Linked DNA regions of Cricetulus griseus. The protein of the gene in region 1 purifies or fractionates together with the protein of each later gene. This does not show direct contact. Links are inferred from orthologs where the notes say so. Each region holds a gene or a part of one and is shown in the gene's direction. Other genes may lie near its edges.

Evidence for each region.
Region 2: the proteins of Glmn (region 1) and Cul1 purify together in Homo sapiens (affinity purification with western blotting; 4 studies listed by BioGRID and IntAct, counting the BioPlex papers as one, with this or other methods). This does not show direct contact. The link is inferred for Cricetulus griseus from reciprocal best matches to the Homo sapiens genes GLMN and CUL1.
Region 3: the proteins of Glmn (region 1) and Cul9 purify together in Homo sapiens (affinity purification with mass spectrometry; 3 studies listed by BioGRID and IntAct, counting the BioPlex papers as one, with this or other methods). This does not show direct contact. The link is inferred for Cricetulus griseus from reciprocal best matches to the Homo sapiens genes GLMN and CUL9.
Region 4: the proteins of Glmn (region 1) and Cul7 purify together in Homo sapiens (affinity purification with mass spectrometry; 4 studies listed by BioGRID and IntAct, counting the BioPlex papers as one, with this or other methods). This does not show direct contact. The link is inferred for Cricetulus griseus from reciprocal best matches to the Homo sapiens genes GLMN and CUL7.
Region 5: the proteins of Glmn (region 1) and Cul2 purify together in Homo sapiens (co-immunoprecipitation; 4 studies listed by BioGRID and IntAct, counting the BioPlex papers as one, with this or other methods). This does not show direct contact. The link is inferred for Cricetulus griseus from reciprocal best matches to the Homo sapiens genes GLMN and CUL2.
Region 6: the proteins of Glmn (region 1) and Cul4a purify together in Homo sapiens (affinity purification with mass spectrometry; 5 studies listed by BioGRID and IntAct, counting the BioPlex papers as one, with this or other methods). This does not show direct contact. The link is inferred for Cricetulus griseus from reciprocal best matches to the Homo sapiens genes GLMN and CUL4A.
Region 7: the proteins of Glmn (region 1) and Fkbp5 purify together in Homo sapiens (affinity purification with mass spectrometry; 3 studies listed by BioGRID and IntAct, with this or other methods). This does not show direct contact. The link is inferred for Cricetulus griseus from reciprocal best matches to the Homo sapiens genes GLMN and FKBP5.

The regions. Positions count from the first base shown.
Region 1 is NC_048600.1:2,356,788-2,361,046, reverse strand, and holds the start of Glmn (glomulin), read left to right. Parts: upstream 1-1,459; 5' UTR 1,460-1,491; coding exon 1,492-1,553; intron 1,554-2,026; coding exon 2,027-2,084; intron 2,085-3,147; coding exon 3,148-3,273; intron 3,274-4,259. Other genes in the region: putative RNA polymerase II subunit B1 CTD phosphatase RPAP2, read right to left, coding at 1-26, 843-969.
Region 2 is NW_023276806.1:222,448,551-222,452,050, reverse strand, and holds part of Cul1 (cullin-1), read left to right. Parts: intron 1-1,829; coding exon 1,830-1,997; intron 1,998-3,500. UniProt on the Homo sapiens protein: Core component of multiple cullin-RING-based SCF (SKP1-CUL1-F-box protein) E3 ubiquitin-protein ligase complexes, which mediate the ubiquitination of proteins involved in cell cycle progression, signal transduction and transcription.
Region 3 is NW_023276806.1:255,963,366-255,966,865, reverse strand, and holds part of Cul9 (cullin-9), read left to right. Parts: intron 1-38; coding exon 39-174; intron 175-289; coding exon 290-489; intron 490-740; coding exon 741-1,140; intron 1,141-1,567; coding exon 1,568-1,760; intron 1,761-3,500. UniProt on the Homo sapiens protein: Core component of a Cul9-RING ubiquitin-protein ligase complex composed of CUL9 and RBX1. The CUL9-RBX1 complex mediates ubiquitination and subsequent degradation of BIRC5 and is required to maintain microtubule dynamics and genome integrity.
Region 4 is NW_023276806.1:256,079,058-256,081,816, forward strand, and holds part of Cul7 (cullin-7), read left to right. Parts: intron 1-1,205; coding exon 1,206-1,366; intron 1,367-1,528; coding exon 1,529-1,745; intron 1,746-1,822; coding exon 1,823-2,147; intron 2,148-2,759. UniProt on the Homo sapiens protein: Core component of the 3M and Cul7-RING(FBXW8) complexes, which mediate the ubiquitination and subsequent proteasomal degradation of target proteins. Core component of the 3M complex, a complex required to regulate microtubule dynamics and genome integrity.
Region 5 is NC_048596.1:210,663,900-210,667,399, reverse strand, and holds part of Cul2 (cullin-2), read left to right. Parts: intron 1-401; coding exon 402-507; intron 508-1,062; coding exon 1,063-1,145; intron 1,146-1,893; coding exon 1,894-1,990; intron 1,991-2,076; coding exon 2,077-2,187; intron 2,188-3,500.
Region 6 is NW_023276807.1:67,637,486-67,640,985, reverse strand, and holds part of Cul4a (cullin-4A), read left to right. Parts: intron 1-379; coding exon 380-485; intron 486-857; coding exon 858-1,030; intron 1,031-1,993; coding exon 1,994-2,146; intron 2,147-3,500. UniProt on the Homo sapiens protein: Core component of multiple cullin-RING-based E3 ubiquitin-protein ligase complexes which mediate the ubiquitination of target proteins. As a scaffold protein may contribute to catalysis through positioning of the substrate and the ubiquitin-conjugating enzyme.
Region 7 is NW_023276806.1:233,539,780-233,543,279, reverse strand, and holds part of Fkbp5 (peptidyl-prolyl cis-trans isomerase FKBP5), read left to right. Parts: intron 1-2,101; coding exon 2,102-2,258; intron 2,259-3,500. UniProt on the Homo sapiens protein: Immunophilin protein with PPIase and co-chaperone activities. Component of unligated steroid receptors heterocomplexes through interaction with heat-shock protein 90 (HSP90).

The DNA.
Region 1 (4,259 bases):
TTGGAGGGCACTTGTCTGTTTAGTTCCTACAATTGAAGAGATAACAGCAAATGCAAACACACATTTGATGTAGCAGTCTTACCCAAATAACACACTGTGGGCAGCTTTTCCTTTTCTCTCACAAATTTCATTTCTAGGTAGACAAGAAGGAAACTCCATTGCTTCTGTAAATTAACTACATCTCAATTTTTCTTGACTAAAATCTCTTTGGGGACTGGCTTTTTTCATGTATCATATCAGCTTTAATCAAGTACTTCTTTAAAACAAACAAACAAACAAACAAACAAAACAAGCCAGGCGGTGGTGGCACATGCCCTTAATCAGGAGACAGAAGGCAGGCGGATCTCTGTGAGCTCAAGACCAGACTGGTCTACAGAGGTAGTTCCAGGACAGAGCTAGGGCTGCTACACAGAGAAACCCTGTCTCAAAAAACAAAAATAAATAATAAATAAAAAATAAAAAACAAAACAAAACTTAAAGCTTTAGGATAAACATTTCTCGGTCTCCCAAATGCTAGATAGCTTGCCTAAAAAGAGGCGCTGATACCTCAGAGACCAGGCCCCAAAGCAGTCCAAAAGGAGGTGTAGTCCAGGATTCGAGGCGGCTGAACACCACCTGTTCTTGGCCCCTTGTGCTGGGGTCCCCAGCACGGCCCACGCAGGGGAAGACCCCGGAACACCCGCGTGAGGCCGCGGGATTCTTTCCCGAGGGCACCGGGGCAGCCACCCGCCACTCGGAGCCCTCCCTCCCCCGGGGGCAGACTGGGCAAGCAGCCCGCGCGCGCAGTGTAGACTCAAGCCAGGGTCTCGGGGTCCAAACCTGGAAGAGGCTACGGTTCGTACCTGCAGCCTTTCGGTAGGTGCTGGAGGCCGGGGCACTCGGGCCCAGCGAGAAAGGAACCGCAGAATCAGCCATGGAAAACGCAGTCAGAAGGTGAGACGCTGGCGGCCGCCAGGCTCCGCCCCCCATGCGTCTTCCGGACCGTGCTGGGGGCGGGCCCATGGAGGGAGGGGCGAGCGCTGGAGAGGGTGTACCCAGTCCAGGGGCGGGGCGAGCACCGGAGGGGACGGGCCCAGGGAGGGCGGGGCGAGCGCCGAAGGGTGAAGACCCAGCCCAGGGGCGGGGCGAGCGCCGGAGGAGGCGGGGTCCCAGAGGCGGGGCGAACGCCGGAGGGGGCGGGCCCGACCTAGGGGCGGGGCCAGGAGTGAGGCCTGCGCTGCGGGAGGTGGAGAAGGCGAGCGGTCTGGCGGGTAGGTGGACGAGCTGGCTAGGGCTGGTCCAGGCTGGCTCATCAGGACCCTGGCAGCGCGAGGCTCGCCTGCTAGGCCCCTCGAGGTGCTGGAGCCTGGATGCTCTGCCCAGTAGGAACAGGGAAACAGGCAGGGAAACAGGGAGAAATGGCTCCCCCTCGGCTCAGCCCACAGGCGCGGTAGGGTGTGATTTTGCTGTCCGCGCCTGGGGGGCAGCGATTCCACCAGCCCCCGGGGCCGCATGCTGTGCTGGTCACCACCGAAGGCCTTCTCTTCGGGTGGTTCGGTGATCTCACTGACTAGGTTTGGTTCCTGTGGAGAGGGCAGGTCTTGTGGGGCATGGGGTGAAGGGCGTCAGAGTCTTCAACTTATTTGGGTGACTTAATTGTGTTGGATTTCAGTATTTATCAATGGGACATTTTAAAGATTCCCTAATGATTAGAATTCTTATGCCAGGTCTACCGTTTTTGTTTTTGATTTTGTTTTTTTTTTTTCATGAAAGGAATACTTTCCTCTTTTGAAAAAAAGTTCTTCTAGGAAGTTCTCTCTAGGGTTCTTTTTCTTTTTTAAATCTCTTTTCATTCTTTAGGCAATACACTAGAGGCTTTAAAAATGTTCTAGTAGACTAGCACACTAGCGTTCAGTAATACCATTTAAGCTATAAAAATTTACATTGTATTTATGTGTTTTCTATTAATTCAGAATGAAACAGTTTATGAAACATAATTTACATAGTATCACAACTAACTGTGTTTTGTATTCATTTCATCATCAAGACTAGGACACTTATTAGGAATGGCTGTTGAGGAACTTCAGTGCATAATAAAAAGATGTGTAAGTAATTCTCTAAAACCACCTGTAAAATATGGCAAGGGCATAGATTATCTTTAATTACTTTGTGGTCACTCACATTATTTACCTTATCTATAATTCCAGCTTTTTTTGTTTTTTACTTGTAAATAAACAGCATAAGAGTAGGAAGGTAGATTGGATTTGTGTGTGTGTGTGTGTGTGTGTGTGTGTGTGTGTGTGTGTGTGTGGGCCTTTAATCCCAGTACTTAGGAGGCAAAGGCAGGGAGGTCTCTGTGAGTTTGAGGTTGGCCTGATCTACATAGTGATTTCCAGGACAGCAAGGGCTATAACAGAAAGATGGGGTGGGGATGGGGGGTAACTAGATAGATGGCTCTCAGTGGTGAAGAGCAGTTGTTGCTTTTGCAGAGGACCTTGGTTCATTTCCCAACACTCAGGCCCACTTGTAGCCTTCATGGGCACTAGGCACCTGTGGGCAAGCACTCATACATACAACATAAAAAGAAATCCTAATTTTTTTTTACACTTGAAAAAACATTTTATTTTTTACTGTGTGTCTGTGTGTGTGTGTGTGTGTGTGTGTGTGTGTGAGCGTGTGATCGCGCACGCTCTCAAGTGCCCATAACCACCTGGAGCTGTATAGATGGTTGTGAGACAACTGACCTGGGTGCTGAGAATTGAACTCAGGTCCTCTGCAAGAGCAGTATATGCTCTTATCCATCAAGCCATTTCTCTAGCCTCAATAGCCTATACTTTTAGACCTGTAATTGTTTTCATAGGTTTCTTTTATTCAGTAGGTTCTAGATCATTCATTGAGCCATATGATTGATGCTTATAACCAGCATTCAGAGGCTGGGGCAAGAGGATCTGAAGTTCCCAGGTCAGCTTGAGCTTCATCTTGAGAGCCTGTCTCAAAAGCCAAAATAAATAAAGACAATCACTAAAATATTTATTAGGATAATTCTAATTTTCATTATGTATTCATGTGCCCTTTCTCTAGAATTTAAGATTTCATTTTTTTCCTTAGACAAGATCAGTAAGTCATTCATACTGAATCTATATTTGCATCTGTCCTGTTTTTTAATAGCAAATCCTAGAGGAGTGTGATTTTAAAGAAGAGGATTTTGGCCTCTTCCAGCTAGCAGGCCAAAGATGCATCGATGATGGGCATGTAGACCAGCTCCTGGAGATTATTCAAGATGAAAAGAACAAGGTAAGTACAAACTTTGCGTCTACTTTTCAGTCTTCATTTGGGAAGGGAATAATATTCCGGTGTTATTACTCATTTATCCTCTTAGTTACTGCTGTAATGAGACTCCATGACCAAGGCAACTAGGAGAGGCTGAGAACGGACAGCCTGGTGATTACCTGGTCATCGAGGCTGGGTGCCTCAGAGTAGTCCCACAGTGGCTGTCCCCTGCTGGGTGCCTCATCGGTCCCATCTGGCCCCAGAAGCCTTTGGAAAGGGCTATAGAGCTGCTGGTCCTAGGTCACAATGAAAGCTTAGGACCTCTGGTTCTGGAAGCATCAGGAGCAGCTGTTAACCTCATGCCAGAGGAGGGGAAGGCCAAGGAGCAAAAGGCGAGACCTTCCTTCTATGTCCCTTCTGTCTGTGTCATTACCACACCAATGTAAGCACTTAGGATACCCCTGTACATGAGGCTCCCTGTTGATACTAAAATCAACTATAGCTCAGTTTTATAGTCCCCAATACAATCAATTTTGTGAGGTTTTGTTTTTGAGACAGAGTCTTTAGCCCATGCTGTCCTGGTGTTCTTAAACTCATTGTGTTTTTTGTTGTTTGTGTGTGTGTGTGTGTGTGTGTGTGTGTGTGTGTGTGTGTGTGTGTGTGTGTGTGTTATGTATGTACATGTTTCTGGGAGTGCAGGTGCATGTCAAGCTCAGAAGTCAACACTGAGTGCTTCCTCCATCACTTCCTGTCTTTTGAAACAAGGTCTCTCACTGAACCTGGAGCTCATAGGTTCATCTAGGTTGTGTAGCCAACAACTCCAGGGATCTGTCTGTCTCTGCTTCCCCAGTGCTTGGATTAGCAGAGCATACCAGTGTGCCTAGCTTTTTGTGTGGGTTCTGGGAGTCTGAATTCAGCAGCCCATCTTAGCTGAGAATACACCTGTCAAGGTGAGTGAGTGGCACCATTGCATCGGCAAGGCAGAGGAGGGAGGAGAGCATAGCACACTG
Region 2 (3,500 bases), on another chromosome or scaffold:
AAGGAATTGGGATGCTTTACACTCGCCATTGGGTGGGCAAGTAGAGCCCTCATCTAGTGTTGTACATGATGTCTTCAATTAATGAAAGTGTTTCTACTCTCTACCTGAAAGGTTCTGAATCTCTTCTGTGTACAGTTTAGTTTTTTAATTTATATAGATGATATATGGGATATTCTACATGCTGCGATTTTTTTTTCTTAAGTATTTTAGAAGCTGAGTGGAAACATTCTCTCTCCTCTCTCAGTTTGGCTTTTCAAGACAGGGTTTTTCTGTGTAGCTTTGAAGCCTCTCTTGGAACTCACTTTGTAGACCAGGCTGCCCTCGAACTCACAGAGATGCCTCTGCCTCTGCTTCCCAAGTGCTGGGACTAAAGGCGTGCGCCACCATCTGGTGTGGGAGCATATTCTACCAGACTAGAGTTAGCGGACAAGTTATAACGAATGTTCCACTTGGATGCTCTTAGACAGGGAGCATCCTGCTACAACCCTGTCCTTTGTATTCACATCATTTTGCAAATAAAGCCTTGTAAGCAAAATGTGTTCTGTTTTAAGTAGCTATTTCATCAGCAACATATTTGCATTTTCATCTAGAATAGGTCAGCTTTGCATTCTAAAAATCATTTCATTTAAATAAACAAAACCTTTGGTTGTATCTTTGATATGGCCAGGTATTCACATAGATGGTTGGGTCACTTGAATGTTGTTACTTGTAGAACTTCAATTCTACTGGGCTGTGGCTTTCCACGTGAAGACACCGTGGAAACCGATGAAGACATCAGTTGGCCTTTACTATATCTCCTTGGCACACTCAGCACAGCACCTGTAACTGGTAGTGTAGTGTTTTCGAAGGGTAGGGCTTTGGAGATGTCATTAATACCTAACTTTTCAAATTAATTTTGTCCAAATAAAAATTGATAAATTTAAAGTAAAAATCATTTTGATAACTTCCTATTTTCTTCCTGAGGTTTTGTTAGAGAAGAAATATTGGATTGCTATCGTTATGTTTTTTGTTAAAAATAATATAACACATAACCACAATTAAGGTGAATATTTTTGTAAGTTTACAAATTTGTGAAATAGTCCATATTTTTTTAAATGAGTATGTTAGCTTCCATTATATTTGTTAATAGGTTGATTTGTTATTGTTACTGTTATTTTGTTTTGTTTTAAACTGGAAAGGTGTCAAACAGAGATGCTTTGGAGTAGATTCCTTAATAAGAAGTTGCTTAAAAACTAAACAAAGCAGGTAGGTTCACGTCTGTAATCCTAGCACTTGCCTGTGATCCTAGATTTCACAGGATGAAGACAGAGGAACCAAAAAAAAAAAAGTTCAGAGCCAGCCTTGGAAAACGTGAGAACCAAGGGAGACAGGGTAAAGAAATTACCACTGGTTGTGGTGGACACACCCACAGTCCCAGCAATTCAGGAGGATCACAGGTTCTAGTTGTACTTGGGCTGCACACTTTCGTTCAAGAGCAACCTGGGCAGCTTATCAAGAGCCTGGCTTGAATTAAAAATAGAGCAGTTGCCGAGAGCTAGAGGGACCCTAGGTCTACTACTAAAGAAAAAGCATGAAAGAAAGATTCTACTTCCATTCTGGAAGCTTAGCATGCACTCTGACTGTGTGTGTATATTCAGCCAACTTAATTTGATAATGAAAGAACTTTTTAGTGTTCTTGTGAGAATTTATATTAGCATGTTTTCATACACAACAATTAAAAGTACCTATTTACAAACCATATTATTTTATGCAGTACCTTTTTCAATAAGTTTTGTCTTGATTCTGTGACAAACCAAGTCATATTAAAGCCTTAGTGTGCTTGTATTTAGGATGGAGAAGATTTAATGGATGAGAGTGTACTGAAGTTCTACACTCAGCAGTGGGAAGACTACCGATTCTCCAGCAAAGTGCTGAATGGAATCTGTGCCTACCTCAATAGACATTGGGTTCGCCGAGAATGTGATGAAGGCCGAAAAGGAATATATGAAATCTATTCAGTAAGATGTTTTTTAAGATAAATAATATTTAAATATGCTGTGGCAAGAAAGTAGAGAGGTGGGAAATTGGAGCTGTAAAATAAAGAGTTTAAACAGTTCTGAGTTTACTTTTAAAGTGTCTTCAATTAATTGGCCAGTTATAGTTTGCCTGGAACTGCTTGAGTTTTAGAATCCTAGATGCTGGCAGTTGCTAGCAAATCAGGTGCCTCATCTGAGGATTAAGCTCCTAACTGGGCCCTCATAGTTGTTTTGTTTTTTGTTTTTGTTTTTTGTCTGAGAGTTCTGTATTGAGAGAGGACTAAATTAACTATTGTTGTTAGTTCTGTATTGAGAGAGGACTAAATTAACTATTTTTGTGTTAGACCCTCTGGTTTATCAGAGTGTGACCCTAAATTTGCGTCATCAGTGTCACCTTGGAACAAGACAGAGGTGCAGATCCTCGACCACCTTCTAAACTTAGAGGCTTTAGATGTGGGCCACAGTTGGGGGAAGGGGCAGGGAGCTCAGTTAGCAGAGTGCTTGCCTAGCATGTATGAAGTCCTGGGTTCAGTCTGCTGTACTGTGCATACCTGTAATCCCATCACTTGGGAAATAGAGGCAAAAGAATCATAAATCTGCTATATAACATGTTCCCAGCCTGCTTGTGCTAAATGAGACCCTGTCTGAAAAATAGTGAAGATCAAAAGATCCACAGAGTTGGGGTGATTAACTCATTTGATAAAATATTTGTCTTGTAAACACAGGAACTGAGCTAATCCCCCAGACCCTGTGTACAAAGAGCATGGTATTGACGTTGTAATCACAGTGCTGAGGAGCTCATTGGCCGGCCACTTTATTATTCCTGACAAGTATAAGCCAATAAGAGACTTGGTCTCAAAAAGCAAGGTGGAGGGCTCCTGAGGAGCAACAGCAGAAGTTGTCCTCTGGTTTCTACATACACACACTAAATAAATAAATAGACAAACAGATAAATACTTCCCCAGGTAAGCAGAGTGAAGGAAAATCACTATTTTAGAACAGTCAAGAATTCCTAATAATACTGGACCTGTTAGTATACAATTTTAATCCCAGCTTATGCAGAGGCAGGTGGATCTCTGGGAGGCCAGCCTGGTCTACATACATAGCCAATGCTACATGGGGTAGGAAAATAGACAAACAGAAAACATAAATACTGCTTTTGTGGCATTTATTTTATTGGAGACACTAGTTGGAAAATACTTTTCATAGGTTAAATTTATATGTAATATTTTCAAAAACACATTTTTACAAACTTAATTTTATCTCTAGTTAACTTGGGGGATGAGACTAATAGCATTTATGTTTAATTTCTTGATAGTTTATGTCTAAAAGTGTTGTAAATTTCAATTCTTTTCTAACTTTTTAATACCTCTCCCAACAAACAGTTTTAAAAATCATGTATGAATTCTAACTTTCTTCTTTTAGAGACCATTTTAACAATAATTAATCTTAGTATATTTATGAGGAGACTAGGAATGGAAAAGT
Region 3 (3,500 bases), on another chromosome or scaffold:
CAGAGGACTGAGCCGTTGGTATTATTCCCTTCTCCCAGGTCTTCTGGCAGTCAACTGGCCGCACCTACTGGGTACATTGGCACATGCTGGAGATCCTGGGGCCTGAGGAAGCTACTGGGGATTCCACTTCAGCAGCTGTGGAGAAGAGAGACGGGACTACTGTATTGGGCACAGGTGAGCTTAAGAGAGGACATGGGAAGCATGTTTCAGAACCAAGGGGCTCTGGCTAGCACTCAGACATTTCTGAGTGGGGCCTGCCCAAGAGGTTCAGAATGACCTACTCCTGCAGCCTCAGCACTTCCCTCCTGGGACTGGAAGCCTGCATATGGCCTGTACTCACTGCCATATCTCCAGCCTGAGCTCCAGAAGACTGAGGAGTCAGGATGCCTGACCCAGGCAGAGTGGTGGGAACTACTTTTCTTCATCAAGAAGTTAGACTTGTGTGAGCAGCAGCCGATTTTCCAGAGTCTGCATGAGAAACTGGATAAGGTACCAGAGACCTGAGCGATCTGGGCCGAGGGATGTGGTGGGTTAGAGACGGGCGCTTCAGGGCAAGTTGTAATTGTGGGTGTGTATGTGGCTGGAGAGCTAACAGTTGAAGCCTGTGAAGATCCTTCCTGCTAATGGAGGAGGCATGCTTTGCGGGTCTAGTATGTGGAAGGTATAAGGGGTTGGCAGGGTGACTCTTCTCATGACCGTCCCTAGGAACTCTGTGTCTGTTGGTCCCTTTGTATTGACAGGCCCTCAGTGAAAAAGCCCTAGGTGAGATCTCTGTGCCCAGAGAGATGGCAGAGGGGGTGCTGCAGGTTCTCAGTAACCGCTTTGAGGGCAGCAACCTCTGTGACCTGCTCAACTCCCAAATCTACACCAAGTATGGGCTAATGCCTGAGGACATGAGCAGCTTGCCTTCTTCACGGAGTCACTCCTGTACCCCAGAGCTAGAGGAGGAGTCAAAGTCGGCAGCCAGCATCTCAGAGGAAGAAGCTGAGTCCTGCAAGGCCAAGATTGAGGCCTCAGAGGCAGGGCCTGCTGGTCCAAAGATGGAGTGCCCCAAAGCACAGAGTGATTCACAGCTGTTCAGTCAGCTTCTGGTGAAAGAGGGGATGGCTCTGTCCCCTGAAACACAGGAAGCAGCTACTGGTGAGTTGGGTACTAGGAGGGGAAGGCAAAAACATTAGAGTAAGACATGCCCTGGCCCAGTAGGGTAGAGTGGAGGGAAAACCATGGAGGAAGTGGGGGGAGGGGAGGGAAGGGAAAACCGTGGAGGAAAGGCCCTTTATGCTGGAAAAGCCTGGAAAGCACCCACATGTCTCCCTCCACATGGACATTATTATCACTATCCGATAGTCACCCGATTCTTCAGTATCCTCAAAAGAGAAGAGTTTGTTTCTAATGCATCTCCATCTCTCTCGTGTGTGACTAGATCTCTCCTGTACTGTTGGAAGAACTAGGAATGCTAAGCTACAGTAGTGAATGCCATTGATAACAGACCTGGGCTTGACTTTAAACCTCCAGCTTGGAGGAGTCACAATTGTTTTAGCTACTACTTTTCTCTCACTAATTACAGAAATGGCCAGAGCCTTGCGGGGCCCTGGTCCACGCAGCTCCCTGGATCAGCATGTGGCAGCAGTCCTGGCCACTGTGCAGATCTCCAGCCTGGACACAGACCTGCAGCTCTCAGGGCTCTCTGCCCTCTCCCAAGCTGTGGAGGAGGTCACTGAGCGGGACCACCCTCTGGTCCGTCCTGACAGATCGTTGAGGTTAGCATGTTGCTGAGGGAAGAGGTTTGGGTTGAAGCTGCAGCCGTTCCGGATGATGGCAGGAGGGAAGGAGTTATAGAACCAAGAGGTAGAAGGGCTGGGATGAGGGAGAGGTGGGGCCCGAGGGCATTAGAGCTCTTTGCATACCCTGAGAATTTACTGTGTTCTCATTAAACCAGTCTACCCCACAGTAGCAATGATGCCGTTAGTCCTATGCTAGTATTAGTGTTACAGTTTACATGAGAAAACTGAGAACTTCACTCACTTGCTCACAGTTCTGCAGATGGCAGAGCCAGGATCCAAACCTAGGCCCTTCTGGCTCCAGTGCTTTTCCTTTAATTTTTTTTTTCAAGCCAGGTGTGAGGCACATGTCTAACCCTGGAACTTGGGAAGCTGAGGCAGGGGGATCATGAGCCTGAGGCCAGCCTGGGCTGCATAGTAAGACCTTGTCTACAGTTTTCTTTCCTCTCTTCTTTTACTTCCGCCCCTACTTTATTTATTTATTTATTTATTTATTTATTTATTTGGTTTTTCGAGACAGGGTTTCTCTGTGTAGCTTTGGAGCCTATCCTGGCACTCGCTCTGGAGACCAGGCTGGCCTCGAACTCACAGAGATTCGCCTGTCTCTGCCTCCCGAGTGCTGGGATTAAAGGCATGCGCCACCAATGCCTGGCTCTCTTTTTATTTTTAAAGTCTCATCTGATTTCATTATTACACAAGTGCATTATCATTTTTAAAACAGTTCATATAAAGGAATATTGAATGACAGCCCTGCTGGGATGTGGTGGCACACACCTATAATCACAGAACTCAGGAGTCAGAAAAAAATCCGAGGTCAGCCTGGAAAGAGAGGAAAAAAATTAGGGTGGGCTAGTAAGAAAAGAAAGGAGGAGAAAGAGAGAGGCGTGGGAGGAGGTGGCTCTGTAGTATTTGAAGCGGGATACAATCCTGGATCACAGCTCATAACAGAAAAAAGTCCCTTTCCGTCATCACTGTCGGATGGACCCTTCAGACCATCTGCAGGGTTAGTATGGAATCGCACGTTTAGGGACTAGAGAGATGGCTCAGTAGTCGGGACTGCATACTGTTTTGCCGAGGACCTGGGTTCGAGTCTCAACACCCACATTAGACAGCTCACAAACATCTATAACTCCAGTTTCAGGGGATCTGTTGCCTTCCTCTGGCCGCTATAGTCACCTGCACCTCTCATGTGCACACACACACACACACACACACACACACACACACACACACACACACACACACACAATAAATATTAAACATGCAATTTGTTTGTAAGGATTTTTATAATATTTTAAAAGTATAAATTAGGTATTTTAAAAATCTGATGCATAAAAGCATTAAAATTGTGTGTATCATTTGGGTGTAAATAGCAAGTAATGTATTTGTGTTTTGGTGTCTGTGGTGTGGCCACACTCGAGTGTCTGTGGCATTTTTGTGTCCCCAGCCAGTGTCTGTTGGAGGATTTTCTGGTGTCAGTTATCACAGAGCTGTTCATTATTTTCAGTGCTGTGTAGAACTGCGATATGGCTGCAGCCAAATTCAAATGCACGGCTCTACAGTCTCCATTCCCCTTCCCTTGACTAGCATAGTACTGCTTTCTGATGGATCAGATTGGTGTGTGTGTGTGTGTGTGTGTGTGTGTGTGTGTGTGTGTGTGTGTGTGTGTGTGTGTGTGTGTTATGTGTACTGTGGCACGTATGTGGAGGTCAGAGGACA
Region 4 (2,759 bases), on another chromosome or scaffold:
TTGGAAATTAGGAAAAATTCATTACGTACACCATTTTTTTTAAAGATTTTATTTATTCGTTATCTATACAGTCTTCTGCCTGCATGCCAGAGAGCACCAGATCTCATTCAAAGTGGGTGTGAACCACCATGTGGTTGCTGGGAATTAAATTTTTTTTAAGATTTTATTTATTATGTATACAACATTCTGCTTCCATGTATATCTGCACACCAGAAGAAGGCACCAGATCTCATAACGGATGGTTGTGAGCCACCATATGGTTGCTGGGAATTGAACTCAGGACCTCTGGAAGAGCAGTGAGTGCTCTTAACCTCTGAGCCATCTCTCCAGCCCTACATACACCATGTTAAGATAGACAGACAGAGGAGAGAGAGGAGAGAGAGGGAGGGAGAGGAGAGAGTCTCAACTTGGCCTCCTAGTCTTTTTTTTTTTTAAAAAAAACTAGTTTAAATTTATTTTATGTGCATTGGTGTGAAGGTGTTAGATCTCCTGGAACTGGACAGTTGTGAGCTGCCATGTGGGTGCTGGGAATTGAACCAGGTCCTCTGGAAGAACAGCCAGTGCTCTTAACCGCTGAGCGATCTCTCCAGCCCCTGGCCTCCTACTCTTAAACTCAGGCCTGCCTATGCCTCCCGAGTGCTGGGCTACCACACTCAACTTTTTCAAAGGTTCATATATTCCAAGCTTGCCTTAAACTCACTATGTAGTCCCAGAATGACTTGGAACTTCTGATCCTCCTGCCTTGTGTCCTGAGTGCTGGAGTTCAGGCATGTATACTGTGTGGTGCTGGGGATTGAACCCAGGGCCTGTGCTTGCTAGGCATGTGCTCGCTCTACTGATGGAGAGTTACACTCCCTGCCCCTCCTTAATTCCTAATCCTTCTGCCTCCACCTCTCCAGCGCTAGGATAATAGATGTGTGCTGTCATGCCTAGTGATTTCATTTTTAAATGATTTGATTTTTAGACACAGTGTGGGGGAACTTGACTTTTCAGAGTTGTTAGTGTTGCTCATTTGCTTGCCTGTGAATGAAAGTGTCTGCTAGGCCAGGGCTGTGGTTCTGTGTATGACTATTAGTTCTGATTCCATCCCCAGCACCTCCTGAAGGGGGCGTGGAGGCTGAGGGATGGATGCAGGTGGTGGCCATCATACCTGCTTCCTCAGCCCTGGCTCATTCACTTGTGGTTTTCCTATGCTCTCTACTCAGGTGACTGAGCAGTTTGCTCGGCACATTGACCAGCGGATCCAAGGCAGTAGGATGGGTGGAGCCCGGGGAATGGAGATGCTGGCACAGCTTCAGCGATGCCTGGAGTCTGTCGTTATTTTCTCTCGCCTGGAGATAGCCACTACCTTTGAGCATTACTACCAGTGAGTTTGGATCTGTTGAGTAGGAAATGGGGAAGGCAAGCTCTCTGTTGTGGGGCAGGGCCAGCTCACAGGGTCTGAGTCTGAGACACAGACAGGACAGAGTGAGAACTTGGGTCAAACTGGCACCCACGCTGAGATCTGGCCCAACTGTGTGTGCTACAGGCATTACATGGCTGACCGTCTCCTGAGCGTAGGCTCGAGCTGGCTGGAGGGGGCTGTGATGGAGCAGATTGGCCTCTGCTTCCCCAACCGTCTTCCCCAACAGATGCTACAGAGTCTGAGCATCTCAGAGGAGCTGCAGCGTCAGTTCCATGTTTTTCAGCTCCAGCAGCTCGATCAGGAGCTCCTGAAGCTGGAAGACACAGAAAAGAAGATACAGGTGGGTTCCAGGGAAGGGATGGGCAAGGAAGAGGTGAGAGGAGGCCTTCAGCATTTGTGAAATTTGTTCCCTTTCAGGTGGCCCATGAGGACAGTGTCAAGGAGCACAAGAGCAAGAAGGAAGAGGCTGCTAGAGAGATAGCAGCTGTGGCTATGGCAGAAGAGGAGGAGGAGAAAGAGGAGGAGAAAGAGGAGGAGAGGGAGGAGGAGCAGGAGGAGGAGCAGGAGGAGGAGGGGGAGGAGGAGCTATATTATGAAGGGACAATGCCAGAAGTGTGTGTGCTTGTGCTGTCTCCACGCTACTGGCCTGTCACCTCGGTCTGCCACATGCTCAGTTCTACGGCACGCCTGCCCTCATATCTGAGGGGGACTTTAAACCACTACTCCAACTTCTACAACAAGAGTAAGCAACTGGGAAGAGGGCTTGGGCTTTGGGGACAAGGGTTGGCTACTGAGAAAGGGACAGAGAGTTGGAGTAGGTGCTGAAATCAGAAGCCTGCAAGGCTACAACCATAGCATCCCAGCATGCCCTTGTGCAGGGGGTATAGGATTCAGGAGGTAAGACTTCCTTAGAGGGACAGGGAATAGGGGGAGATAGAGGTATAAGTCTTCTAAGACAGGCCACAAGAAAGGGCTTTATGAGTGGGTGTGTCCAGGCATAGTGGAGTACACCTTTATCCCAGAACTCTGGAGGAAGAATCAAATGGATCTCTAAGAGTTTGAGTCTAGCATGTGACTAGCATGGAAGGTAGTCTGCATAGTGAGTTCTAGGCCAGCCAGAGCTACACAGAGACCTTGTCTCAAAAACAGAACCAAAGAGTGGGTGTGTGCTCCTCCCTCAATGGTCACATTTAGTCTCAAAGTGTTGGCTGGAGATGAGACTCTAGACTGGGCAAATCACAGCAGGCGAAGAGCAGAGCCCCCTCAGGAGGCCCAGACAGGCAGGAGGACAAGCCTCTCAACTCAGGGATTTTTGTCTCTAAAACAATTGAACACAACTCAAAGGGTATGGCTG
Region 5 (3,500 bases), on another chromosome or scaffold:
TCCAGGACAGCCATGGCTACACAAGAGAGAAACACTGTTTCAAAAAACTAATAAGTAAATAAATTAATGAAAAGAAAAGAGAAATAGTAGCAGTACGGTGAGAACTGAGGCAAAAGCTTAAACCCAGGGTTGGTTGTCATACAGGAGAAATTGTTTTGGTTGTTTTAATTCTTGCTGCCTGTGCTAAGTGGACTCTTTCTGGTGTAGTAACCCTTGCAGAAAGTCCAGGGCTAATAATATATTGTTTTCATTTATTTCTAACTTGGATATAATTTCTTTTGGAGTTATCACTGAATTAGTCTTTAAACTTAACCCTAAAATTACTATTCTAGATTCATGAGTTATTTATTTTCCTAACTGATTTTGAGTTTACATCCATTGTACTTGTGTTAAATTTTCAGGTATCTCAATACCCAATATATTAAAAAAAATAAATTGACAGAAGCCGATTTACAATATGGCTACGGTGGAGTAGATATGAATGAACCACTTATGGAAATAGGAGAGGTAAGAAATTCTTTAAGTGACTTCAAACATAATTTGTTTTTAAATTTAAATTTGAAATATTATTGTTTGTATATGTGTGTAATGATAAGTCTTTCCACCAAGCTGCCCAAGCCCCGCTGCCACATAGGCACCCAAAATAACACACAGAATCTTATATTAGGTACAGTGTTGCTGGCCAATGACTAGGATTTCTTACTGCTAGCTCAGTCTTAAATATCAACTATAACTATTAGTCTATATAATTTATAAGAACTTATCTGATCGAGGACTCCAGCTCACATGGTGCCTCCCAGAGAAGAGAAGAGGAGGAAGAGTGATTTTCTGCTTGTTCCTGTTTATATTGAGTCGGCCTGCTATGTCACAAGACTTATAATTCTGATGGGATGATGACTACTTTAAATGAGAAATTTCTTTTCCTTCAGTTTTTACTTGTATTTTAAAATACCGATACTATTTCTGTTGATGGGTATTTCTATTTTACAAGATCCTAGAATGAATGTTAAAGGAAAAAAATCTACCTAATTCAGCCTTGATGATTTCTGTTTTTCCTGGCAGCTAGCATTGGACATGTGGAGGAAGCTCATGATTGAACCCCTTCAGGACATCCTCATCCGAATGCTGCTCAGAGAAATCAAAAAGTGAGTATGGGGTTTTAATCCCCTTGGTGAGTTAATGTTTAGTTTATTGACTGATCTGATATGTTGTTCTTTATTAGCATGTAGTGTGTTTCTGTCAATTCTGATTAATTTTGAGTTCACTCTAATTTCTTCATTCTTAAGGTTTTTCTGGTTATTTTATAAAGCAAATACAAAATGGGATTACCTTCTTAATTTCTGATTCAGATAACTTGCTACTAGCCAACAGTAGCACTACTACTGATTTCTGTATATTCATTCTGTATTCTGCAAATGGATTCAGTTACTTTAATAGTTTTTTTGTTGTTGTAGTATAAACTTTGTGGTATATGTCCCCTGTACCCCCCAAGGCCATCTGTAAACCAATGCTTTTATTTCCCCCACCCCCAGTTTGAATGTTACTTAGTTCTTCCTGTCTGATTGCTGGGGCTTGGAGAGGCTTTTCTCTCCTCCCCATTCAGTACAATGTGATGCTGACTGAAGCCCAGGTGTCTGGTGGTTATAGCTGAAGAACTATATCTGTGATAGTCACAGCACATCATTTTCCATCGAATCACATTTATTGAGATGATTTCTATTAGCTATGATGATGATGATGATGAGATGAAGAAAAACTGTTTCAAGCTTTATACATGTGTTCTGACCTCATAATTTTTATTAGGGCATTAAGTTAGCAGTTGTATATTGGCATACTGGGGTATAAGTCCACAGATGACTGTTCTCAAGCATGTTGTGTTATACTTTGTTTCAGTGATCGTGGTGGTGAAGACCCAAACCAGAAAGTAATCCATGGGGTTATTAACTCCTTTGTTCATGTTGAACAGTATAAGAAAAAATTTCCCTTAAAGGTAAAAAGTCTACTTCAAAACATGATGAGACCTTTAATTTCTGAAATGTTCTGGTTTTTACTAATACAATTTTAATTGATTTTCAGTTTTATCAGGGAATCTTTGTGTCTCCCTTTCTGACTGAAACAGGAGAATATTACAAGCAAGAAGCTTCAAATTTATTACAAGAATCAAATTGCTCACAGTATATGGAAAAGGTAAAAAAAAAAAAAAGGAAACACCTCATGTGCATTTACCTGTTGCACACCTCTTTATTTAACAGCATAAATATTTAGTATTGCTTTAGTGGGAAAGATCTGTTGTATCATTTCTCCTAAAAAACAAAATGCTATTTTAGTTACATTATTAGAATTAATATTATATGGGCTAGATAGATTGCTCAGTGATTAAGAGCATATATACCTCAAGTAGAGGACCTGCTTTTAATTCCCAGAAAAACCACTTGTAACACTTGTTCCAGAGGATCTGACGATGTCCTTTTCTGGATTCCATGGGTACCTGTACTCTGGGTGCACATACCCACTCATAGATACATATATACACACAGATTCATATGTACACATATTTTAAAAGTAGTCTTTAAAAAGTTAATATAAGATGGATATTGTGCCACTGTTCAGGTGTGGTGATCAGAGAACAACTTGGGGGTGGATTGGATCCCTCCATCATGTGGGATCTGAGAATCTATCTTAGGTCCTTAGGCTAGTCTGCAAATGCCTTGACTCACAGTCATTGTGAGGCCCCAGTTCAGCCCCCAGCACTGCATAACCTGTCATAACCAGACAGAGGCAGGAAGATCGGGAGTTCAAGGTCCTCAGCTATATAAGGAATTTCAGGCCAGCCCTGGAAACATGACTGTTTCTAGTATAAATAAATAAGATAAAAATAACAAAGTAGAAGGAAAAAGTGGAGGGCAAATAAGATAATCTGAGTCATGGTAAATCTTGGTATGCTGAATTCTGAACATTGTATCAAACCTCCAGAAGGAATTTTAAACCCTATTAATAGTTTCATGGTAATAAGAAAGAGTGATAGAGTCATTATAAAGAAACATGAGAATTTTACCTAGATTTTTTTAAGTTTTGGTTTCTTGATATTTTGAAACAGTCTTCCTCAACCTTCATGTCCTAGCAGTCCTCCTGCCTTCACCCCCTAAGTCCTGGGATTACAGATGTGCATCTCTGTGTCTGGTTTAACCAGCTTTTGGTTTGCAGTGTTATGTTTCAAGCATTTTGGTACTGAATGATTTTTGCTAGATGGTTTAACGGGGAAGATGAAATAATGTAAGGGGACTAGCAAAACAACATAGTGATTACCTTTTAAAATCTAGAGACCTATACTAGTAGGTATCCAATAGAATAGAATCTCGTTTAGTGTTCTAATGAGATATTTCATTATATTTCCAGTGATTCCCTATCCTTATTTCCAGACAACCACCAATCTTTAAAAGCCCCATTCACATAATTCCTTGGGGTCGCTTAAGTCCAGAAACTATTTCCTTAGCTTCTAA
Region 6 (3,500 bases), on another chromosome or scaffold:
GACAGAAAGTTCAAGGCTACTCTCGGATTGTATAGCAAGACATTGACTTAAAAACAGTAATAGCAGCAAACAGATAGGCCTGCTGTCTGGAAAGTAATGTTAAAACGCAAAAGGCAGTGGGTTCACAGCAGCCTGAATTGGCCTCCAGCTCAGGAGGCTCACTGGCTCACAGGTGTATGTTGTCATATCCAGCTCCAAGACAAGAATTTTTTAAGTGCAATGCCCAGTAATCATTTCATTCTCTTATAATCAGTAATTTCTTCTTACTTGGTGGTGTTAGCAAGTTCTGAATCCCCCCAAACACAGTGCATATAAAGCAGTCTGCTATAACTCACAAAGAGTCCAAGCAGCCTCTGTGATGGTCTTCATTTTCTTAAAGGGGAAGAAGGAGTTCCAGGTGTCCCTCTTCCAGACACTGGTGCTGCTCATGTTCAATGAGGGGGACGGATTCAGCTTTGAAGAAATAAAAATGGCCACCGGCATAGGTAGGAAGATTTCTTGTGGCTTTTTTTGGTTTTAGTTTTGTTTATTTTGGAAGTAGAGTCTCATTATGTCACATTGGCTTTCCTGGAACTGACAGAGATCCACCTACTTGTGCCTCCCAACTGCTGGGATTAAAGGTGTGCACCACCACACCTGGCTCTTGACACTACTGTGTTAATTAAAAAGAGGAGGGGCTGGAGGGGCAGTAGTGGAGTACTTCCCCGCATGCACAGGACCTAGTCCTGCAGCAGCACATGGGGTGGGGGGGCATAGACCCTACACTTTGCTGTCACACCAGCTCTCTCTCATTGCTCTCTCTCGTTGTCATTAAGTCTCATGTGTTTTGTGACATGTGTCTCCTTTGCCTCCCTCAGAGGACAGTGAGTTGAGAAGAACACTGCAGTCTCTTGCCTGTGGTAAAGCACGGGTTCTGATTAAAAGTCCCAAAGGCAAGGAGGTAGAAGATGGAGATAAGTTCATTTTCAATGGGGACTTCAAACACAAGTTGTTCAGAATAAAGATCAATCAGATACAGATGAAGGAAACCGTAAGTGCCAGCTTTCTCTCTTCACTTTTGTGGTCTCACCATGGAATCCTTAGCCTTTCTTAGTAATGTCTTGACTAATAGAGGTCAGAGCACATGTCTGAATCTAGTGCAAATGCAGGGTTTGGAATAGTACCCTTTCGTGTATCTTTCATTAATTTTATGTTATCAGTAGAAGCAAAAGTGGTGAAATATGTGTAACAGCTGTGCCCATATATGAAATCATACCTTCCTGTATCGAATGCCAGTGCTAAAGAAGCTCATGGGATTTCTAGATCGAGTGCCTGCCTTCTGCTTTGCCTGGCACAGTCAGCTGCTCCAGGCTAGGCCTTGGAGGAAGAAGGAGTTTTCCCACAGAATGTACAGACTACAGCAATTCCAGCAGGGAGCAGGCTCTTTCTTAGTTTCCCAAATGTACACAAGCTTAAGACCAAAGCTGCCAGCCCTTCTGACCAGTAGCTACACAGTGGCTTCTAATGGCCTCCTCATTCCTAGAAATGCTTAGTCTAAGTAGGTATATGAGGAGAGTTCTTACTGAGTGTGGGGGGGGGGGCAGGGGGAACAAATTTAATTATTAGATTTCTCCTCTCCCATATACAATGATTATGTCATTCATCGTGAGGCTTTCAATTTGCTGGACAGAAAATATATTCAAATTCTCAAATTACTCAGTAATGCAGTATAAGGTGGCAAAAGAGGTGTGTCAGTGGTTAAGAACAATGGTTGCTTTTCCAGAGAACCTGAGTTCCCAGTATCCACAGGGGCTCACAGCTGTCCTTTGCTGCTAGGAAGCCTTAATATAAGCATTTGTATAAGAAAACTACAAATCTTAAAATTACTTGTCCAAGTATTAGTTTTAGAGTTATACACTTGTGAAAAGTTGAGCTTTCATAGAACAAATTACAATGTAACAAAGCAACACTGAAACATCTTTACACACCTCTAGTTCTTTCTTCTTTTGTCCAGGTTGAAGAACAAGTTAGTACCACAGAGAGAGTATTCCAGGACAGACAGTACCAGATCGACGCTGCCATAGTCCGAATAATGAAAATGAGAAAGACTCTTGGTCACAACCTTCTAGTTTCTGAATTGTACAATCAGCTGAAATTTCCAGTAAAGGTAACTTCTGTCAGCACAATTGGGTGTTAGGTTTGTACTCAGTCACAGAACATGCTAGAGTCTCAGTGTCCTGGCATGTAACTGTTTCCATGGGGCCTGTGTGAGCAGAAGCCAGCACACGTGATAGCCAGGGCTCTGTGTAGATCCTCTAATTAGCACCCTAGAAACCAGACTCAGCTCCTCCAAGCATGTTGCATGCTTGTGCTTTCAGGAGGGAGTGGAGGGCCACGAGGTATCAGGACAGAGGTTCTTCCCTAACTGTGGCCCTGTAAGCCATTCCCTGTTGGTAACTCCCCGGGCCCTTGTGGTAGTGCTGTTGGTAACTGCTGGATTCAACATTCACAAGCTACATAGCATTTTCTACTTTGGAGATGTAAGTCAGCCTCAGGCTTGTCCCTCTTTCTTGTTCTAGAACTGAGTTCTGAGATTCTGCAACATGTAAGATGCAGATGAGCTAGGGGAGCATTACAAAAATATGCCATAAAATACAGCCTACAGTGAGTGCGTTGTTAGTTAGCTCAGAAGGAATTGAACTCTCAGGACCTCTGGCCTTCAGCATCTGGAAGTCCCCTGGTTACATGACATCTGAGTTGGTCTTCTTTATCAGGGAGTCACACTGAGACAGACTGATTAGTCAGTGCCTCAAGGACAGGTGTGTCGAGTACCTGGCCCTCCCCTCCATGATGATGGGTACACAACCCATCAATACTGTTGTTGTTTCCTACCCCAAGCCAGGGCATCTGTTTGTCCCTTTGCAGATGAAGTGACCTGGTAATTAAGTGTAGAGCGTAGTTGTGCAGCTGGGGAAAACCCTCATGCTTTTTATAGCTAATGGTATGTTGAGCCCTATCTTGTAAAATGCATGGCCTGCACTGAATAGAAGGGTTTGCTGTTTGGGAAACGATGCTCCCTTGGCAGGAGGCCCTGGCTCCCAAGTGCTGCTGACTGATTTGTTTCCTACTGCAGCAAAAGTGAGGCAGGCACCTGTTAGGCAGAGACACTATAAGGTTGTGGACTCAGCTCTGGTCTTAGTCATCCACAGAGACTGAACTCTGACTGGCATGGTGATACACATATTTACTCCCAGCACTCGGGTAGAAGCAGGCAGATCTCTGTGGTTTGAGTCTAGCCTGGTCTACATAGCAAGTTCCTGGAGAGCCAGTGCTACATAGATAGACCCTATCTCACAAAGCAAAGCAACAAAGGCAGGCTGGGAGCCTGTGACTGGTCCCCTGCTTTGTATCCACAGGGCAGTTAAAGCCAGTGAAAAAGTCTCTGTGGTGATGTCCATGTGGTGACAATGACAGGTACACTTTTGCAGTAACATAGCAGAGCCACCGTGGAGATGTGGAGC
Region 7 (3,500 bases), on another chromosome or scaffold:
TGCCTTTGATACAGTTTGACTTTCTGGTTTTTTTGCTTGTTTCCTGCACACTTAAAGAGAATTTCTGAAACTGTGTAGTCATTTCAAACACATTACATGATTGCGAATCAGTCTAGGGAACCGATAGTAAGTGGGGACCCTTTGCAGAAGTCTCTGGACTTCCTGTTTTGAAAACACATTCAGACTTGATCGACCAAAAGCCACAACAAATGTACTGATAGCTTCCTCCGAGCTAAAGACACCGCACTTGAGGAGGAAGGTGATCACCTAACAATAAACTTCAGAATTCCCTCCCCCGCCAAATCTGTCAGTCTAAAGATGTGCTTACCTTGTGCATGGGCAAGAACTCCTGTGCTCAGCAGATCTCTAGTGAGAAGTTGGTCTAAATTCTGTTTATTTTTGGAGGTTCTGGGGCTTGAACCTCAGGCTTTGTACCTACTGGGCAAGTACTCTGCCACTGTGAGCTACCCCTATCCCTCTCTTCACTGTTTCTTGTGAGATAGGCCACAGTGTATGCTTCTCCGGCCTCAGCCTTTTGAGTAGCTAGGCTTAGAATAGATACCCAACTTCCTAAAAACCCAGTTCCTTTAGAAACATCACCTTTACTCTAGAAAAACAAACAAAACAAAAAAAAAACAAAACCATGGGCCTCAGTTGTGCTCCCAAACCTCTGGTGTACATGTATTTTAAATTTTTAAAATAAAGTTAAGTCTTTTTTTAAAAAAATGGAAGCGGCTGCTGGCAGTGCTCACAGCTGTCCAGCTGGATGCCTCTCACACTACACTCAACCTGGTTTTTTCACGCTACCTGTGCACTGGGGGTGGGGTGGGGGAGGTATCTGCAAGTTAGCTATTATTTTATTTAGAACATTCCAGAAGTGGTCATCATAGATATTAACAAGTGTGGGAAATAAAACAAGAGGCTCTATGCACACCCTGAGATCCAGGCTGCAGCCCTTGCTTTGAAGGAACTGACTCAGGATTTGGGTTGACAGCCGAGGGAGCAACCAGCGTGGTGTTCGTCCTGGAGGTTGTCCTGACTCTGCTGACTGAGGCCCTGCTGTTGATAGTCAGAGTCCCTCTGACTTATCAGGCCTAGGCTAAAGGTGCTGGATCAAATGGTTAACCACAGGAATTAGCATTAAAGGTGGCTTCTAGCTGAAACAGAATCATAGACCTTCAGGCCTTTTAGGAGACTGCTGAGATCAGATAAGGGTGGTGGAGGGAGTTGGAATTGGGTCTGTGTTTGGAATTTGACAGCTGTCATAGGACACATAGTTAATGTGTAAGAGAGGGTGGATTCTCAAGACTCTGTAAAGCAAGTTACGTAGTTACTTACCCCACATCAGTTAAGCAGCCTAAGAACTTTCCAGATTATCAAAGAGGAATCGTGGTGACTGTTGCACTGGCTCACAAGCCATTTTTCTTAGTGAGTAAAAGACCTTCGAGAAAGGCATATGGAACATGGGCATTAAAGGTAGTTGGGCTGGGGTGTAGCTCTGTGGTTGGTTGTTGCACAAGTCCCTGGGGTCAGTCCTCACCGCCATACAAAGTAATTGGAACAAGATGTGGTGCCGGCCTGTAATAATATAATAAGAAAGCACTTGGAATGCAGAGGCAGGAAAATAAGAGTTCCAGGCCAGCCTGAGATATATAAAAAGACTGCCTCAAAAAAAAAAAAAAAAAGAAAGAAAGAAAGAAAGAAAGAAAAGAAAATCTAACATGAATGTATCATTGGAGAAATGACATTCCAGGCTTGGCATTATTATTGGTTTATTTATTTCACCCAAGCATCTGAACCCAAGATACTGTTACAAATGGTTAAGCCATCGTTGTATATTGTCAGGACTAGATGCGTGGCATTCTCCTTATTGTGTGTTTAAATAAGCCAGTATATCCTGACCTTGTGTCACAGGTAAGAAAACTAGTATTCATTTAACCTAAAACAGAAAAATATTCTTGTTCTTAAACTTTCACACTGGGTGGGCAAAGCTTCTAGAAGACACTGTGTGTGTCTTGTGGACAGAGCTGCACTGTTGGCCGCTCACTTGACAGGCAGTGCTGAGGGGTGGCTTGTGACTGTTCTGTCTCCTCACCCTCAGTCCACCTGGAAGGCTGCTGTGGTGGAAGGATGTTTGATTGCAGAGATGTGGTGTTCATTGTTGGTGAAGGAGAAGACCACGACATTCCCATTGGAATTGACAAAGCCCTGGAGAAAATGCAGAGGGAAGAGCAGTGTGTTTTATATCTTGGACCACGGTAAGAAGCGCCCGTTTCCGTATGCAGTGTAGCTGTCTGAAGACCTACTCTCTCACTCGGTGCTTTTGCTATCACAGTGAGGTCATTGCATTGAGTCAGGTGGTAGTCGGGAAGTTTGTGAGCGGTTGGCTCAGCTCAAGTATGTTTAAGAATAGGGCAAATAAGCCTTGTTTTTGATTTGTTCCTATGCCATGGTGCCACATCAGCAAAGATTGGCTGGTCCTCTTTTCTGTCCTCTGAGTTCAGCAGGAGAGTGCTGAGAGCTGAAGTAGGGCATGATTTACTACCCCTTGAATGCATGCCACATTCTTATATGGAGTCCCCGAAGGAAGAAAAAACCAGCTTGTTCTTCCTGGATCTAAAGACAGCGGAGATGACTCATTTTTGCCTAAATCTTTCCCGTCATAAGGATAGCCATTAGCACTTCCAAGCTTAGAACTATCCGGCACTGACAGTCTCTTGTGAAAACATGTTTTGTATTATTTTTGGTCTAAAATTGTACCATAAATTCAACTCTTCTATCTTGAGAAATGGGCCCTGAGAGAATCCAGGGATGCCTGCATGCAAGAGCATCTCCTTGGCCAGAGTGGCCTCACGGGCTCACAGATTGCAACTGGCAGATCTGAGTTCTGAGACTCTTCGGCCTGCCCTCACCCCTCAGGGGTCCCTGACAAAACGCCAGTGCTTGTCTATAATCCTGTTCCTCAGTAGTTTTAGCCATGCCCACACTTCCTTGAAAGTTCTTCTAGAATGCTCTGTCCTGATCCTAAAGCCATTACGAGGCCCCTTTGTCTGCTGCCTTTCTCTCAACCCTGTTCAGTGCTGCAGTCCTGCTTCAGGGTTTCAGTTTGCAATGGGCTGTAGTTCACTCTACCCTACTTTTTGACTGAAAACTTTTTTTCTCTTTGCAGACTTGCAGAGCAGGTACTTCATAGCCTACAGTCTCCAATCTTTTTTTTTTTTTTTTTTTTTGAGATATCTTCTCACTTTGTAGCTCTGGTTGCCCCAAAACTCAACTGTGTAGACCAGGCTGACCTCAAACTCTGCCTGCCTCTGGCTCCCATGTGCTGGGATTAAAGTTTACTAATCACTTCTAATCTAACATTCCAAAATTACAGGAGCTCCACACTCAGGTGGCGGCTGTCTCAGATATGCTTTCACAGTTGAGCCCTTAAGGATAAGTTCTGTAAAGTGTAACCATTCAGGGACACATGACCCAGATCTGTAAGTCTTAACCCAGCT